Drosophila melanogaster: one gene and its partners. The protein of the gene in region 1 interacts with the protein of each later gene in a pairwise test. Each region holds a gene or a part of one and is shown on either strand. Other genes may lie near its edges. The genes, in order: dsx, CG17376, Mst87F and hale.

What was found.
Region 2: the proteins of dsx (region 1) and CG17376 interact in a two-hybrid assay, tested with the Drosophila melanogaster proteins (2 studies listed by BioGRID).
Region 3: the proteins of dsx (region 1) and Mst87F interact in binary tests that used the Drosophila melanogaster proteins (3 or more experiments, as listed by UniProt).
Region 4: the proteins of dsx (region 1) and hale interact in a two-hybrid assay, tested with the Drosophila melanogaster proteins (2 studies listed by BioGRID).

Annotation. Positions count from the first base shown.
Region 1 is NT_033777.3:7,964,340-7,969,075, forward strand, and holds the start of dsx (doublesex), read right to left. Parts: upstream 3,070-4,736; 5' UTR 2,124-3,069; intron 1-2,123. UniProt on the Drosophila melanogaster protein: Controls somatic sexual differentiation. Binds directly and specifically to the FBE (fat body enhancer) of the yolk protein 1 and 2 genes (Yp1 and Yp2).
Region 2 is NT_033779.5:6,799,446-6,802,809, forward strand, and holds CG17376 (uncharacterized protein), read right to left. Parts: upstream 1,390-3,364; 5' UTR 1,308-1,389; intron 1,254-1,307; 5' UTR 1,237-1,253; coding exon 961-1,236; 3' UTR 871-960; coding exon of another isoform or gene 764-870; 3' UTR 718-763; intron 667-717; coding exon of another isoform or gene 656-666; 3' UTR 501-655; downstream 1-500. Other genes in the region: CG43610 (uncharacterized protein), read left to right, coding at 1-93; CG17377 (uncharacterized protein), read right to left, coding at 2,506-3,102, 3,166-3,192.
Region 3 is NT_033777.3:13,826,639-13,829,826, reverse strand, and holds Mst87F (Male-specific RNA 87F), read left to right. Parts: upstream 1-1,818; 5' UTR 1,819-1,995; intron 1,996-2,140; exon of another isoform or gene 2,141-2,248; intron 2,249-2,338; 5' UTR 2,339-2,356; coding exon 2,357-2,527; 3' UTR 2,528-2,676; downstream 2,677-3,188.
Region 4 is NT_037436.4:19,983,871-19,987,499, reverse strand, and holds hale (hale-bopp), read left to right. Parts: upstream 1-1,631; 5' UTR 1,632-1,724; coding exon 1,725-1,945; intron 1,946-2,004; coding exon 2,005-3,004; 3' UTR 3,005-3,074; downstream 3,075-3,629. Other genes in the region: schuy (schumacher-levy), read right to left, coding at 1-717, 781-1,336; CG17732 (uncharacterized protein), read right to left, coding at 3,309-3,629.

The DNA of each region.
Region 1 (4,736 bases):
TGATACTCGTAAATCGATAAATGGCCCTCTAAAGCACAAAAATAAAAAAAGCTTTACATCAATCAATTACATATCAATAATAAAAAAACCAAATAATATAAGTAATATAAGTAAAAAGTATACATGGGAAGAATGTGGTTAATATTTCTATATTATATAGATAGGGAATATAAGATTCTTCTACACTTCTTGTCCACTTTCTCCACACCTGCTGGCGTGTTTGATTCGTGTTTAATCTAATTTGCACTTAGTTTGACATTATGGTGACTCATTGAACTTGCCTATGCACACAGATTCACACTCAAAATGTTTGACGATTGATTAGAACCTAATGAACGAAAGATAGGGAGAAATATATGTGACATAGACGAAAGCCAGTATCGATGAGAATTTTAATCTATTAGCTAGGTGACATGTAGTGTGAGCGTTTGTCTGTCTCAATTTTCGTTTGCTGTAATGACTTAATTTCGGAGTCTAAAGAGTTAATACCCTGTATTTAAATGGAGGGTAAATTGAGCATGAACGATGTGCTGATAACGGGTCTCACATTCGTGCTAGCACCAGATACCCGCCCCCTTCTTCCACCGCCTCCCGCTGGCCACGGCAAAATGTTGTTATTTTGCCTGTGTGTTTAAAAACTGCACAAGATTGCTTATCTTGCATGTCGCCTCTAATTTGTATGAGCTGAGAGACCCGCAGAGAAATAATTCCTCCGAAGAGCCACTTTAAGAGAAAGACCCTGCTGGCTATCAGTTTTCAATATTTGTGTTTGGTGGAAATAATGACAAATATAAGCAGGGAAACAGTGGTCAAAGTTGCCAAAGGAAAAGCGGATTAAATTGATTACGGGCGAGCATAAAAAATGTGCAGCTTGCGCATGTATGCTCAATTAATTTGTCTAAAGCGGAAGAGATCACGATAAGAACCCACTTCAGGTTATTAATGGGCCAAGGACAGCTCGGCGTTATAAATGGCAAAAGCACCTTAAGTCGATTATATGATAATTGCAAGTGGGGTGCAGCTTAAAAAGTTGAGTACAGATCATTATAACTGTGCACTAAGAAAAATGCATTTACAGGTATTTTATATTTGTATATATTCTTGGGAAAATGTACCAAGCTCAGATTTATATTATACTAAAATATTCGTCTTGCTAATATGGTTTAATAACTTACTTAATATAAATCTATGAGTAAAAAGTCTGCATGTTTGCTGAGGAGTCAAACGGCATGCTAGGTTCTTATACCTTTTTTTTTAAGACTACAGACAGGTGTACTCGATCTTGCCATTTGCGTCATCCGTCTTCATGAAAGTCGAGATTTCGTGAGTGAAAGCAAGCTGCAGTTTCTACTAATGATCTCTTACGCCCACTAAAATATGAGTTTTAACTTAGCAAGGCTAACTATGTTATTTCGACTACAAATGACAAGAATAATAGCCAAAAGAAATGAATAATTATCCCCAAGATAACACAAAATATTAAAGGTAAACTGTCCTTTCGCGCTATACACAATGAGCATTGGCAAAAATTTAAGTTCTAATTTACATATATTTTTTATAATTGCAGCACTCGTGAATAATCGATGGTAAGCTTTAAAATTAACAAGAAACGCCTTCGCTTCAACTTTAATTTGAATAAAAATATTCAGCACGTGTTTATCGTTTTAAGCCAGTTGGTTTCCGTATTTGTCATTTGCATTTTCCTCATAACCACTTAGACCTTGGTCCAATTTGCCTTATATGTATGCAGTCATCTAGGATAGCCGATCGCAAACGACAATGGCAATGGCCTACGCTATCCCAATCTTAGAAACTAATGCGGGAGTCTCATAGTGTGGCTGTAAAACGCGACCTGTTGCTCGTTTCCTGTTTAATTTGGAAGTCAGACAATAGCCTGAACCCCTGGCTCCCCCCCATTCAGCAGTCATACCGCCAGTTGTAGATGGCAATCGCTGAGCGTACCTGCTGCTATCGCCATTAAGCCTTGTACACACGAGCATTTATGTCAGGCAATTACAAGGCAGTTTGCAACGCCCCCAAATGCCGGGCAAAAAGGTGGCAAAACGGAGCGGAGTGGTGGCACATTTTGGCCGCAGAGCGCTCGTAACTCATCGTTCACTTACCAGGTACAATGCCAATTGCATGCACTCGCTAGAGTATCTCCAGGTCCACTACTAGACCACTAGCAGTATATGTATCTGTATCTGCATCTGCGATCTGCCTCCGCGAGGTGTGCTTTGCTCTTGGTTATGCAAGCAAAGTGAGAGAATATAGCACTAGCACTCGGCGAACTCGATGAGATACGGGGAGTCCGATCGGCTGGGTACGAGACGGTCAGGAGTGCTTCGTGGACCGAGAGTGAGAGTGTGAAGCCGGTAAAAATTTATTTCTTTTATTTGTTATCTTAAACCGTACAAGCTGTAGCCGCAAACGACTTTGTTTAGCATGGCACTCGCGGCTCGATCTGGTTCCCTGTAGGTCAACGCATTTTAGAGATATTTTCGGACCTCGCACAGCAACTAAAAACTATCGCACAGAATTTTGTACCGAATCCGCTCCAGTTCTTTTCACTTCAGCTTGAGATTGTGATTTCGAGCACGGAACGCGGACGGCGCGAGACGCCAACGCGACATGCACGACCTGCAAAGGACGATCGATGCCAGCAAACTGGTTGCGGCCACAAAGCTAAAGCTCCCCGTGCACGATACTAACACTCGGACCAGTACCAGTCCGACTAGCAGACCAAAAGACAGCGGACAGATACACGGACATTCAGGCGGACGGGCGGACCTAAAACTGAGCATGTGTTTCTGGCACAGAGACGGGCCCACCGACTGGCGACGCAACGCTCTTGCTATTTGTATTTGCACTCTGGTTGCTGCACCGCGAAAAAAGAAACGAGTGCGAGCATCCAACCTGCTCGACTGCTGGATGCACTGCACATCAACTGGGAGAAAGCAAATTGGTTTGGTACCAGATATGGATACCCTTATTTGACCGTTTTCATTGTAAACCCTTAACTATGCTCTTTTCCATAAGTAAACCATGCTAAAAATAACATAATTTAAACACAATTCTTACAATATGAACTATGAACTATAAAAAAGTATTGCAAACTATTAAATCGTATGTAATATGAGCTAAATTCGCCGCGAAAAATATAGGTTCCGCACTGCGGATACTTAATTCTCCTTACCTGCGTTGCATACTTTTAAGGGCTAATTTCCGCTAATATCAGCCAAATAAAATGTATTTTAAAAAATTATGTATTTGAACGGAAAATGTTTTAAAATATTCATTACTTCTGTGTTGCTATTTAATATGTGAAATACGAAAAACGGTCAATTATTTTAAATACTAAGTAAATAGTTTTTAAACAGAAACATTTATACGATAGAAGGGCATTTCTTTCATCGGTTCCCACGATTTTTAGCAAACTCATAAGCTCGAAGCAACGTTGGTATGTGAAGAACTCAAACGAAAGCATCTTGGGCAACAGAGAGTTACGGAGAGAAACGGGTCTGCGAGAGTGTAAAGTGCATTTGCCCCATTAATGGGGAGCATAAAACATCGAAGACGTGCTCTTCCTCTCTGAGCGATTCTCTCTTGAAGTTCGCGTGTTTTTTTGCGAATCTCTGCGAGAAGCTCGAGTGGAGCAACTTTGTTGCCGTACATTGACGTCTCCCGCCTGCATGTGCCGATCGTAAATTTGCACTCTGGTCGCTCTCTCTCTCTCTTCCGTTCTCTTTCCGCGTGGCGCGAGAAGAAGAAGCGCCAGATATGGGGAGCATCGAATCGGGTTTGGGCGTCTAGCCGACGATATAGGTCGAACCACTCAGCTGGGTTTCGGCCTGCGCCGCGTATTTATGCCACCTTTAGACGCAGCGATTTGCGTGTGTCGCACTCGCATTTATCACATTGAAAGGTCCCCTTTCATCGTCAGCCGTTATATTAGTCAGGATCGTTTATACAGTACGGCGGAGATAATTTTGCCGAAGCTCGGCTCCATTAAAAGATACTTCCCTCAGGCGATGCACGCAACTCCCAAAAAGGTAACCAAAAATGGTCGAGAGTTCGATTTTTGGGCAGTGAATCGATTTCGAAAGGGCCTTCGGTACTTCAGTAGTTTCCCATTGGTGACCAAATTGTAGGGGAATGAATGGCTCAGCGATCAGAAAACATTAAGATAATACTCATTAATTAACCGTTTTTGATTCTCGTTTAGTGTTTCAGAGACAAAAGTTATTAATTTAATATTTAAATAAATGAAGTGATAAAGTGACTTAAATTTAATGAATTTATGTAATTATTTTGACTTGCTCATACAAAAATTGAATTTAAAGAAAATTACTTACTTATTATATTAACTATCAATATCATCGAGGTAATGTGAAAACTTAATATAATTGCATACTAGGGTACTACAACATATTATTTAAAAAATGTTTACGAAAGTGAGAGCGGAAGGCTTTGTCATTGATTTGCATGAAACTGTATATATTGCATAGGCAAGGGGATACATTTTTCATCCAAATCCGATTTACATCTTCACCAATTGATCCCGTGCCGATTGTAGAACGATAAAATTCACATAGCTTTAAAGGCGCATTTCTTGCACCATTTCTTGTACCTTGGATCGCACAAATTTTAGCCCTTTTTATGGCGGAGTGTCGAAAGAGCTTGGCTGGGGGCATCTGCATTTGCAATCTCATAAATCAATTAGCAAAGAGCGGCGC
Region 2 (3,364 bases), on another chromosome or scaffold:
ATTTTGCTCGTTGGATTATATATTCACGATCCAAATCGTATAACAACGAATGAGACGACAACTGAAGAAGCCTTGACCACTTTATGGGCGTAGAGAAGAAAGTCCTGTCTGTACAGTAGTTGTTGTACCCAATAAAATTTGTTTAAATTGTTACTAAAAGTTCTTCATTCGAGCCTATTGAAGAAATATAGAAATCCACAATATATATTTTTGGATCAAAAAATTTAACCGACCGATATAATTTCTAGTTTTCGTCGCCCTTTAGTTTATATAAGCATAGTGATAGAATAAACCACATGCCCCAGTGGCCTAATGGATAAGGCATCGGCCTCCTAAGCCGGGGATTGTGGGTTCGAGTCCCATCTGGGGTAAGAGTTGTATCCTTTTTTTTTATTTCTTAAACTTTGAAGCCTAGAAATCTGCATCCGAAAAAAGGTGCATCCGAACGAGTTTCCAGCCAAAACCCGTTACATTCCCTCGCTAATTAAAAAGGAGTGGTTCGATTTCTTATATTTATTAATATTTAAAGCCTAAAAATCTGCATATTGGTGATAGATGCATCCGATCGAGTTGCTAACCAAAACGTGTTACACAACATGGTCCAACGGTTCTCAGTTCCGCCGCTTATATGGGTCGTCCGTAGTAACAGAGCCGCTTAGAAGCCACCTGAGGGAGAAAATTAGAATAAGAGGTACATGTACTAAAACATTTACTTACAAATGTGTGGAGTGGAAAGGATTAGGACCAGAGTCGGTGGCTAAACCTAGCAACAGCATTTTGGCGGAGTGTTGTAGCAGTGGGCTTTGCACGGAGCACACCACACGCAAGGCGCGTTATCCTTGTTAACAAGGTAACGCCTGGGGCAAGGAGCTTTGGGAGAAGGACGAATAGTCACACTGATCGCAAGGACCAGACTCTCCGCTGCTGTGGCACACACAATCCATTGCCTTCCCGTGCCTCTCAAGGTTCGAAAACGGACGGACGGACAGAATTTGTGGGTTCGTATGGTGGAGTGGGAGCATTTAGCTCGGAAGCGGACTTACATGGATAAGTTGGGGGCGTGTTGTAGTAGTTCCAGACACGGGGATCGGGAATGCCGCCCTCGGGCAGAGGGGGACAGCACATGCCCGGAGCAGGAGAGCACGGGATGGGAGACGGGGCTCCGCATGGCGGACTGTGGGGGCCACAGCAGGGTGTTTCATTACAGGGTCCACAGCATCCACATCCGTTGCACATGTTGAGTTTGTCTAACGCTGCGGGCGAAAAGTTAAGATGTTATACTTTTTGAACAAATACTTAACACTCACTTTTTTGGTTGAGTTATTATCGAAAAAGTAAATTTGGAATTTAGAAAAAAATTTAGAAGTCGAAGCGACTGGTCCGAGAGTCAGATATCGAATGAGGTTAGCTGTTCCCTTGGCCCAGCACATCCAGTTCAAGTTTCGGTTCGGGTTGGCTTAAAAGTCATGGCCAACTTTATGAAATTTCATGGCCTACTTCGACTTAGCAAAGATTATGAAATCGCCACAGATCTACATAATTATATATCTATATTTGCCTTATTCACTAAAACAAAATATTTGACCCGCGAATTGTTTAGGTCAACTAACTCACTAAGATTGGAACATGGCTCTCCCAGCTCGAAAAAATGGGTTTAAAACAAAGTACTATCAGCAAAGTTCAACTTTTAATTAATTAAATCTTAAATGCCACGGAAACCCACCCTAATAAAATTGATATTAATTAATATAAATATCAGAATATCTGTGGGACATATGAACGTAAATTTTTATGGCCTTGGCATAAGGTTTCAACCTTAATTTACAATTCTAATGCCAGGCTTAAAATATAAATATTCGAAGCATAAGTGCAGCCATAAAATAAACGCAACCTTTAACACCCCCCATAATACACAGAATATAATTTCAATTTGTTTATTTGTAATTTAATGCCAAATAGATTCCAGATACCAACATATGATTTTGTGTTTAAATCAAGACCGTCTGACGAATTGCACATGGGTTCCCAAATAGCTTCGAGCCCTTCTAGTAATGGGTATTCCGCAGCTGGCTAAATCTTGATTTAAGCCAACTTCAATTTTTTATCAACCAAAACTACGTCACAAAACGACAACATGTCCCGCCAAGGAAGTGGCCCATATCAGGATCCGATCGAAACACTTGCCAGGAAATACTTATAAGCCACCTGTGGGATGAGAAAGGTAAAACCAGTGAATGCAGAAGGTATCGCAGTTACTTACACGCGACAGGATGCGGATGGAGGTCAAAGGGTCATGAAGGATTTGGGGCCTGGCAACAGCATTTGGTCCATGGATCCTACCTCTACGCTCACAAAGCCCAGGACATGCTATCATTGTTGACGGATCAGCGTAGTGGGCATAAAGCTCCTGCAAAAGGACATGAAGCGTCACCACAAGCACATGTTCCAGATGCTGTGACCTGCAAAGTCCTTGGGCATGCCTCGTGCTCCTCCGCTCCATGGTTTTTACGTTCTACGGACGCCCAGCGCCGTGACAGATGGACAAGCAGACGGACAGACAGGCGGACAGGTGGACGGACCTGGACCGGACTTACATGGGTACGTCACAGGTGCGTTATAGTAGTTCCAGACACGCGGATCGGGAATGCCGCCTTCAGGCAGCGGAGGGCAGCACATGCCCGGAGCAGAGGAGCAAGGAATGGGCGACGGAGCTCCGCATGGAGGACTGTGCGGGCCACAGCATGGAAGACTGTGCGAGCCACAGCATGGAGGACTGTGCGGGCCACAGCAGGGCGATACATTACAGCAGCAGGGACCGCATCCACAGCAGCCGCCGGCAACGCGTCCACCGCATCCGGCACCGCCATTTGGTGCTCCAGTGGCGGCACAGCGCATACGCTTATTGTTCACGCCCATCATCATGTTAGCGTAGCGCAGCGGGAATGCCGCCGGACCGCAGGTGGGGAAGGGGAAGCACAGGCAGGCCGGTCGGCCCTGGCAGGCGGACCGCGGGCACTTGTCCTGCAGACCGTTCCGCTTCACGCAGTCGCAAGTGGTGTACATGATGCCGCATCGTAACTCCCGACTGCGGCATCCGCGCGGCTGGAAAGGATGCATACATAGTGGTCACAAGTGGTCAGTGGTGTGTTGCATATGGTTACTCACCTCCAACGATCCACATCCGTCACACATCTTGAGCCCGTCGAGCGCTACAGGACAAAGGATTTAAAAATATACTATGGTCTTCCCGGGATAAACTTACTCTATTTGGTCAAATTAATTTGGAAGAAAAATTTGGAATTTGGAAAATTTAGAAGCTGGCCGAAACGAAAGGTCCGAGAGTTTGGTATCGAATGAGGAATGA
Region 3 (3,188 bases), 5.9 Mb from region 1:
TTTTTCGGGGGGCGGCACGTGCCCAGAACTACCATTACCACTTTCCATTGGATTCTCAGGTTTCCTCTGTGCACCTTCAAATTGATCGGCAAGAAAACGAGCTGCAGCATTCTTCAACTTTGATTTAGACATCTAAATAATATTTAAGTTAACATCAGAGTACTATGTATGTATGTACATATATCCGACTTTCAGAACTGCGCCTTACTTTTCCTTTTTAGCGATCAGCTGCCACTTTTTAGGGGGCGGCACGTGCTTTCTTCACTTTCGTCGGCTTCTCGGGTTACCTGAATCCGCCGTTTACCCTTTCGGTCGCTCCTCACCTTTGGCCCCATTGACGGCCACGCCCCTAAAGTCATTATGGCGCACACTTAGGGATAGGCGGATATTGATTTCCCTGGGCTGACTGGCAGTACTCAGCGCTTTCCAGCCGATGATGATGACATCTGCGTGTGCCCATTGTGTTTCACTTTTCATCAAACTTATATTAATAAGTTGATGCGAGGGGCCATAATTAAAGCGAATTCGATATTTCCGGCCGGAGGAAAGACATTTGGTTCACTGAACCCAATAAAAATCCTTGAACTCCCGTCGCCAGACGAAATACAAAATATTTGTATACATATGTATTGCCAATAATCTATTTCAAACAAAGGCCAGCCACAAATATGAACGAAAAAACTAAGTTAGAGCAGCGTCTGCTGCCCTTTTGGCGGCACCCTCACAAAATTATTGACCAGAGTTCCATCCATCTCGAGTTTGAAAAAAAAAAACCAGAGAGCCACAGAGAGAAAAATTCAATGAAAGTCATTTAACCACATTTAGGTGGTAAGAAAATAATTATTTAAAATCTGCTACCGCTTTCCGATTCGATTGAGACGCGCTTCGTCACTAAGTTCGCTACTAGATTTATGTAACTAAGTTTGATTCACTTTATATTAGACACTTTGTAATATAAGCTAGATTTGTATTTAATATATCTTACTCTACTCTTGTTCACATTTCTTTGAGACGCCTTTCGTCACTACGCTATATATTTTTTCTATGATAGTGATTTTTCACCGTGCCGAAACAGAACGACTTTGAGTTGGACTTGTCCGTCTCCTCGGATGCGAGATTCTACCCAAATATTTCTGCTAGAAGGGAGAGGACTTCTGTGCGGTTTGACGACGGGGTTTTTGCTTCGGTTTCTGCCTCTGCTGATCGACACACACACAAATACATACATACATTCTAATCAACATGCGGCAAAACATATAATTCGAATTTTTGATATTTCGCCCGACCATTTTGCGAAGAAAATTGCATTTAAACGCCTATTATGCGCTTTTTATTTGCAACCCATACTTTTCTGCCCGAATGCTCCGGCTGACTCAGTCATGCACAAATACAAATCATTGTATAATCATTGTGTATAACACTAGGGTTCCATTTTGGAGGCTGGCGAGCTCTGTCAACTGGTCCACTAGGCTTCCTGCTTTTCGGGAGTTAATTAAATCCGAAATCGTAAAATCGTTAGCAAATGAAATAAATTGCGCTCAATTACACCGAGTGACATCCAAGGCGCAATCGCTGGTGATTGACCTCTTTCAATGCGACGACATTCTTGGCTCGATTCGGCTGGGGAAAAAAACCAAGAAAAAACAAAATAAAAAACATAAGCAACACAAGTCTTCGGTCAGATAATGAACTTAATATACACTTGCATATATAGTATACCCGTTCAGCCCCGATACCCGGATTCTCGGCAATCGGCAATCGGCTATGCGCCATGCACTTAATCAAAAAGTACGACAAAATCAAGAGTAAACAAAAGTGCAGCGCAGAACTCGACTTGAGAACCGGCAGCGATTCGAACTTCAGCCGGGTGCAATGAACACATGATCCGACAAAACAAAAATTTAAATCTCATTTACCTCGTTTATATGTTACAGTGCACTGGAAAAATAGTGGCAACTTGATGCGTTCCTACCAAGTTGGATGATAACTACATAGGTAGGATCGAAATATAAAGGTTAATTCACATGAAGATTGAGCATTTCCCTACTTACAATACAATCATTATAAGCTTTAGCCAATGCTTTAAACAAAATATTTTATATAGTATCCTTTGCCTCTTCAGTCCGACTTGTCAAACCGATATACCTGTGCGTAACCAGATTTTGTATCATTATTATTTGTCCTTTCGGCCTGAACACATCAAAATTTGTCGTCTAGTCTCAAATTATTTCTTTTTGTTCGGTTCAAAGTGAGTGAAAATAAGTGAAAATTTACAAAAATGAAAATGTGTAAAAAATTCCTATGGCATATCATTTAAACGTACCTTTTCTCCCTTCAGAACTTTTACGAATTAATCATGTGCTGCGGACCCTGTGGACCCTGCTGCGGACCTTGCTGCGGACCCTGCTGTGGTCCATGCGGACCATGCGGAGGAGGATGTGGACCCTGCTATGGACCGAATGTCTGCGGACCATGCTATGCCTGTGGACCCTGTGGCGGCTGCTATTGTGGATACCCTTGCTGCTAGACAGTTGCAACTGGCCATGTCCAAGAAGGGTTCACCAGAACACCAAGACGATAGGATAGAACCTATCCCTATTTCATCCTCGTATTCATCTAATATTCGTGAACCACAAATATAGGTATTTGAGACAATAAATATGAGGTGTAAGCTTCAAGAAGGTTTGGTTTTTGATTAGTGATAATAGTCAAATGCAATTTGCTTAGCCAAATATCTGATTTTAGAACACAGATACAGATGTTTAGACGCAAATGCGACCTGAATTAGAATCGATCCGCAGTCTTCTAATGCGATGTGGTCGACCTTGACGTTTCGCCGAGAGTTTATTGTCCTTTCAATAGAACACGCTAAATAAAACTTATTTAAGCAGGTACATACATATTTAACCCGCACACAGTCATGCATGTTCTTGTGTTTTTGTTTTTATTTTTATTTTTATTTTACTTTTGTGTATATTTACTGCACTAATTCTGCGACGAACTAGTTTCGGCACAGCGGATTCCGATTCCTGAATTCCGAGCGGTATTAAACGACGGCGAAGCGCAAAAAGTCAACAAAGTGCATATAAAAAATATATTTAAATTTACCCGAATGCCGCCGTCTCCAGTCGCCGATCCGATCCCCCTGGAGATGACCGCCCCCCCCCCCCCACCCCTTTTTGGCCATA
Region 4 (3,629 bases), on another chromosome or scaffold:
GGGAACACTGGTTGCACAAGGATTGGCACGAGCAACAGGGATAAAATCCTCCAGAAATCGGAATATTCGGCTGCTGCTGCAGCGCACAAGTGGAGGTTCCGAGAACTGGGTGCATCATGTGCTGGCTGATCTGACCACCTAATCCCATAGAAGGATGTGATTCCATGCTCGACAAAGGACAGCAGGATGTACCACCGTTGTAGCAGCCGTTTGCAAAACTCTCCGGCTTCAACATGCAGCAGTTGCTTCCGTTGGCTGGACATTGATACTGATTGCCCATCTGCATTGGGCAGACTTGACTCGTCCTCGACGGACAGCAATTGCTGCACGTGCAGCAGGAGCAGCTGGACATGCTGCTCGGCGTGGCGCACAGGAACTGCTGGCCAGGATACATGACAGGACAACCCGATGTTGCCGTCCCCGGCTGATTCATGTGCATAAAACTGATGGTCACATATGGCGAGTTGTTGGTCGGTTGAACTCGCACGTTCGGGTGTTGCTGCAGCGTCAAATGCTGCTGCATATGTTGCTGCTGCTGCTGCAGCACATTCTGCTGCATGTTCTGATGTTGCAGCAAGGACATTTGCTGTTGATGCTGCTCATTCAGCGACGGTTGTCGCTGTTGTTGCTGTTGCTCCCGATTTAATTTTAAAAGTTTTTGTCGGACCTGGGCTGCAGTTTGAAGGGATAACTTCCGAGCGGCTTGTACAGTGTTACCTGGGGAATAAAGAGGGAGGAAGGAACATAAATATAGAAGCAATCTAAAATGAATAATATAACCTTTCTGGTTGCTATTGCTGGTGGTTGGATACTGCGGAAAGGCTTTGTCCGTCTGGGATCCTGCATTAGAAATGGCGTAGGAACGCGAGGTCTGCTGCGTCTGACACTTGCCGGTTTGGTCTTCCTTCGACTGTTCTATGTCCTGTTGAATCCGATTCCTAGCCAAAGCATCCTCGAGAACCACGAACGAAGGTCTATTCGCCAGATCCTTGTTGCAGATCTTAACGAAAGGCGGCAAAGTTTCGGTTTTCTTGATCTCCTCTATGGACTTGTCATTCTTGCTCTTCTCCAGCTTTTCAGTTGAGTCATCATCGATGTCATTTGAATTCCCTTTGAGCACAGCTATGCACTCTTTCTTGGTTTCCTTAGTGCCATTCGTCAGTGGGGAGTTACTACTGTCTGCTCCGCTTTGGGGATTCTTGCATTCCTGATTAAGTGAGCTAATTTCGATGAGACCATCAGTGCCCACGGTAATCATGAAACAGCATTTGGCCACCGTTTCGTCATTTGATTTGGCCAATTGCCCTGATGATTCATTCTCGCCTGGGGCCTCCATTTTCCTGAATTTTGATGTGTTTTCCGGGTGTTGTGAGTTGATGTTTCCTAACGCATATCAAAAAGTATATCAGGCGACAAATGTACTGTCAACTTTGAAATGCTCATCGAAACTGGATTTCCCTTACTGTGTAAGTAGTGACCAAAACGTTCTTGGTGTTTAAGATTTTAGAACCATATTAATATTAATAAGATAAAATTATTTAAAAACTTGAAACAGTATTTATTTCTTAAAATAATTCAAATTATATACTAGAGAAGCAAGTCTGGTATCAATCAGTATGTCTCAGCTTTATGATGTCAAACATTTCTACACCTTTTGTGCTTTAACATGTACACAAAATTGTCATATCCGTGAGTTGGCCTCTCCGGGTGGTGAAGAGTTGAAGATGTTCTGCACGGAGAGCTGTGAGCACGGATGCAATGCAACCTCGTCGGGCAAGCTGATCGCCAATGGAAACGGTGGCGGCCTGCAGTCGCAGGGAAATTCACAGCATCAGTTCACCATGTCCTACGCTCCACTGTCGACCAACGATGTGCCCTCCAAGTCCGAGGTGGAACCACCGCGACTGGGCATGTGCCTGGTCACCGAGTGTCCAGAGGGTCTGAGGTAATTTATACATGAATTTCCATGAAAAGTGATTCGATTTCTACTCCCTTCCTCTCCAGCATTGACTGCAATGTGCCACTGCCGAATTCTTTCAATTTGGATGAATACAAAAATCACATGATCTGCTCGAGCTGTACCCAGTTCAATGGTGGCTTGGACAGATTTGGCCAGCCAGGTACAGCCGGTCCAAGTGCCAGTCCTAGTGCCAATCCATATCCAACTCCGATGCCCAATCCCATCCAGGCCTCTCCTTGCAGCTTTCATGGCCAGTGTTGTTCAGCCGGTGGACCATGCGCTGGATATGATTCGCAGCCAAATCCATCAAGATGCTATCGACAGGAATCATCGTTGGCTCAAGGAGCCCCAGCGATGCCGCAGATCTTTTGCCTGGCACCACCCAGTTCCCATGGTGGCTTAAATCAGCCCGTTTACTTGTGCAGCCTGATTCCAGTTCCGCCATCGTGGAACCTGGTGCCGCTGGCCCAACCGCAGCACTTGACGCATCAGCAGCTGCTGACGAATCCCGCACAGGACTCGCAGCTGCCGTTGCAGCAATTGGTGCAGTACGACCTGTCCTTCAATCGCCTGCTGGCCGAATTGCGCAAGGAACGGGAGAGGTCCTGTTGTGACCTGCAGATCCCCCAGCCTCTGGCTTTCCAGCTGTATGCGCCCACGGTTAGGTTTCTAGATCAGCCAGATTCCAGTTCGGCGAAGAGAGAGCCTCATTGCCCGCCGGCAGCTCCTTGTGCTCCTCCAGCTGCACCACCACAACCACCATCCTCGTCATCATCCCCAACAGCCACATCTGCCTCCGCCGCCGGGCTGCCAAGAGCTCGTTCGGCCAGCCCGAAGCGCAGTCGTTCGTGTCTCCGGAACAAGGATCTCTGGGACAGTGGCGGATCCGTACCAGGTCCATCCCCCTGCTCCTCGCCCACCCAACATGCGACCGGAAATGTGTGCATGAAGTGCGGAAACTGCTGGCATTGTCCGCGCTGCAACTGCTCCAACTGCTTCTGGCATCCCGGCTTGGTGCGAGCTCCTCCAAGAGATGGTCGCTAGGGAAGGGGACTAAGAGCCACTCCTACACTGTAAAAGAAGAAAGTGTAATAAAATTCCAAGACTTTTAAGCAAGCAGCTTGCCACTATTTCTTAATTGAATTCAATAATAAGAATATTTATTCTTGCAATATGAAGAGAGAGTCACTTTTAAGGTTTTTTTTTCGTTTATTAGTTTGTAATATTTAAACCCTATTTATAAATATTTTATGATACATAAAAAATGAATTCTTTCACAATTTCTACAGCAGCTAGGACTTATATCACAAGTAATGTTCGTTAAACAATGAACTGTAATTAAAAGTAATTATCGATCAGCCTGCATGTTCATAAAGCTAGCCACGTAGTTGGACATGACCGAGTTTATTCCGAAATGGTCGTTTCTGGGCTCAAGGGGTTGGGATTGCAAATTCCGGTGGCCGGGCAAGATCAGCGAAGCTGGCGGCAAGGGAGTTCTTATTTGGCAAGGATACGGATCCGTTCCCAGCTCAGAAATCCTTGTGCGACAACGCCTCACTTTCCGGGCAGAGGGACTAACTTGGGTGCAGGTCCTGCTGCTGGATTGGCAATACGGAGGTGGCGGAAGGAGAAATCTTTGCTGCAGCTCAACTGCCGTGGTATGCGACTC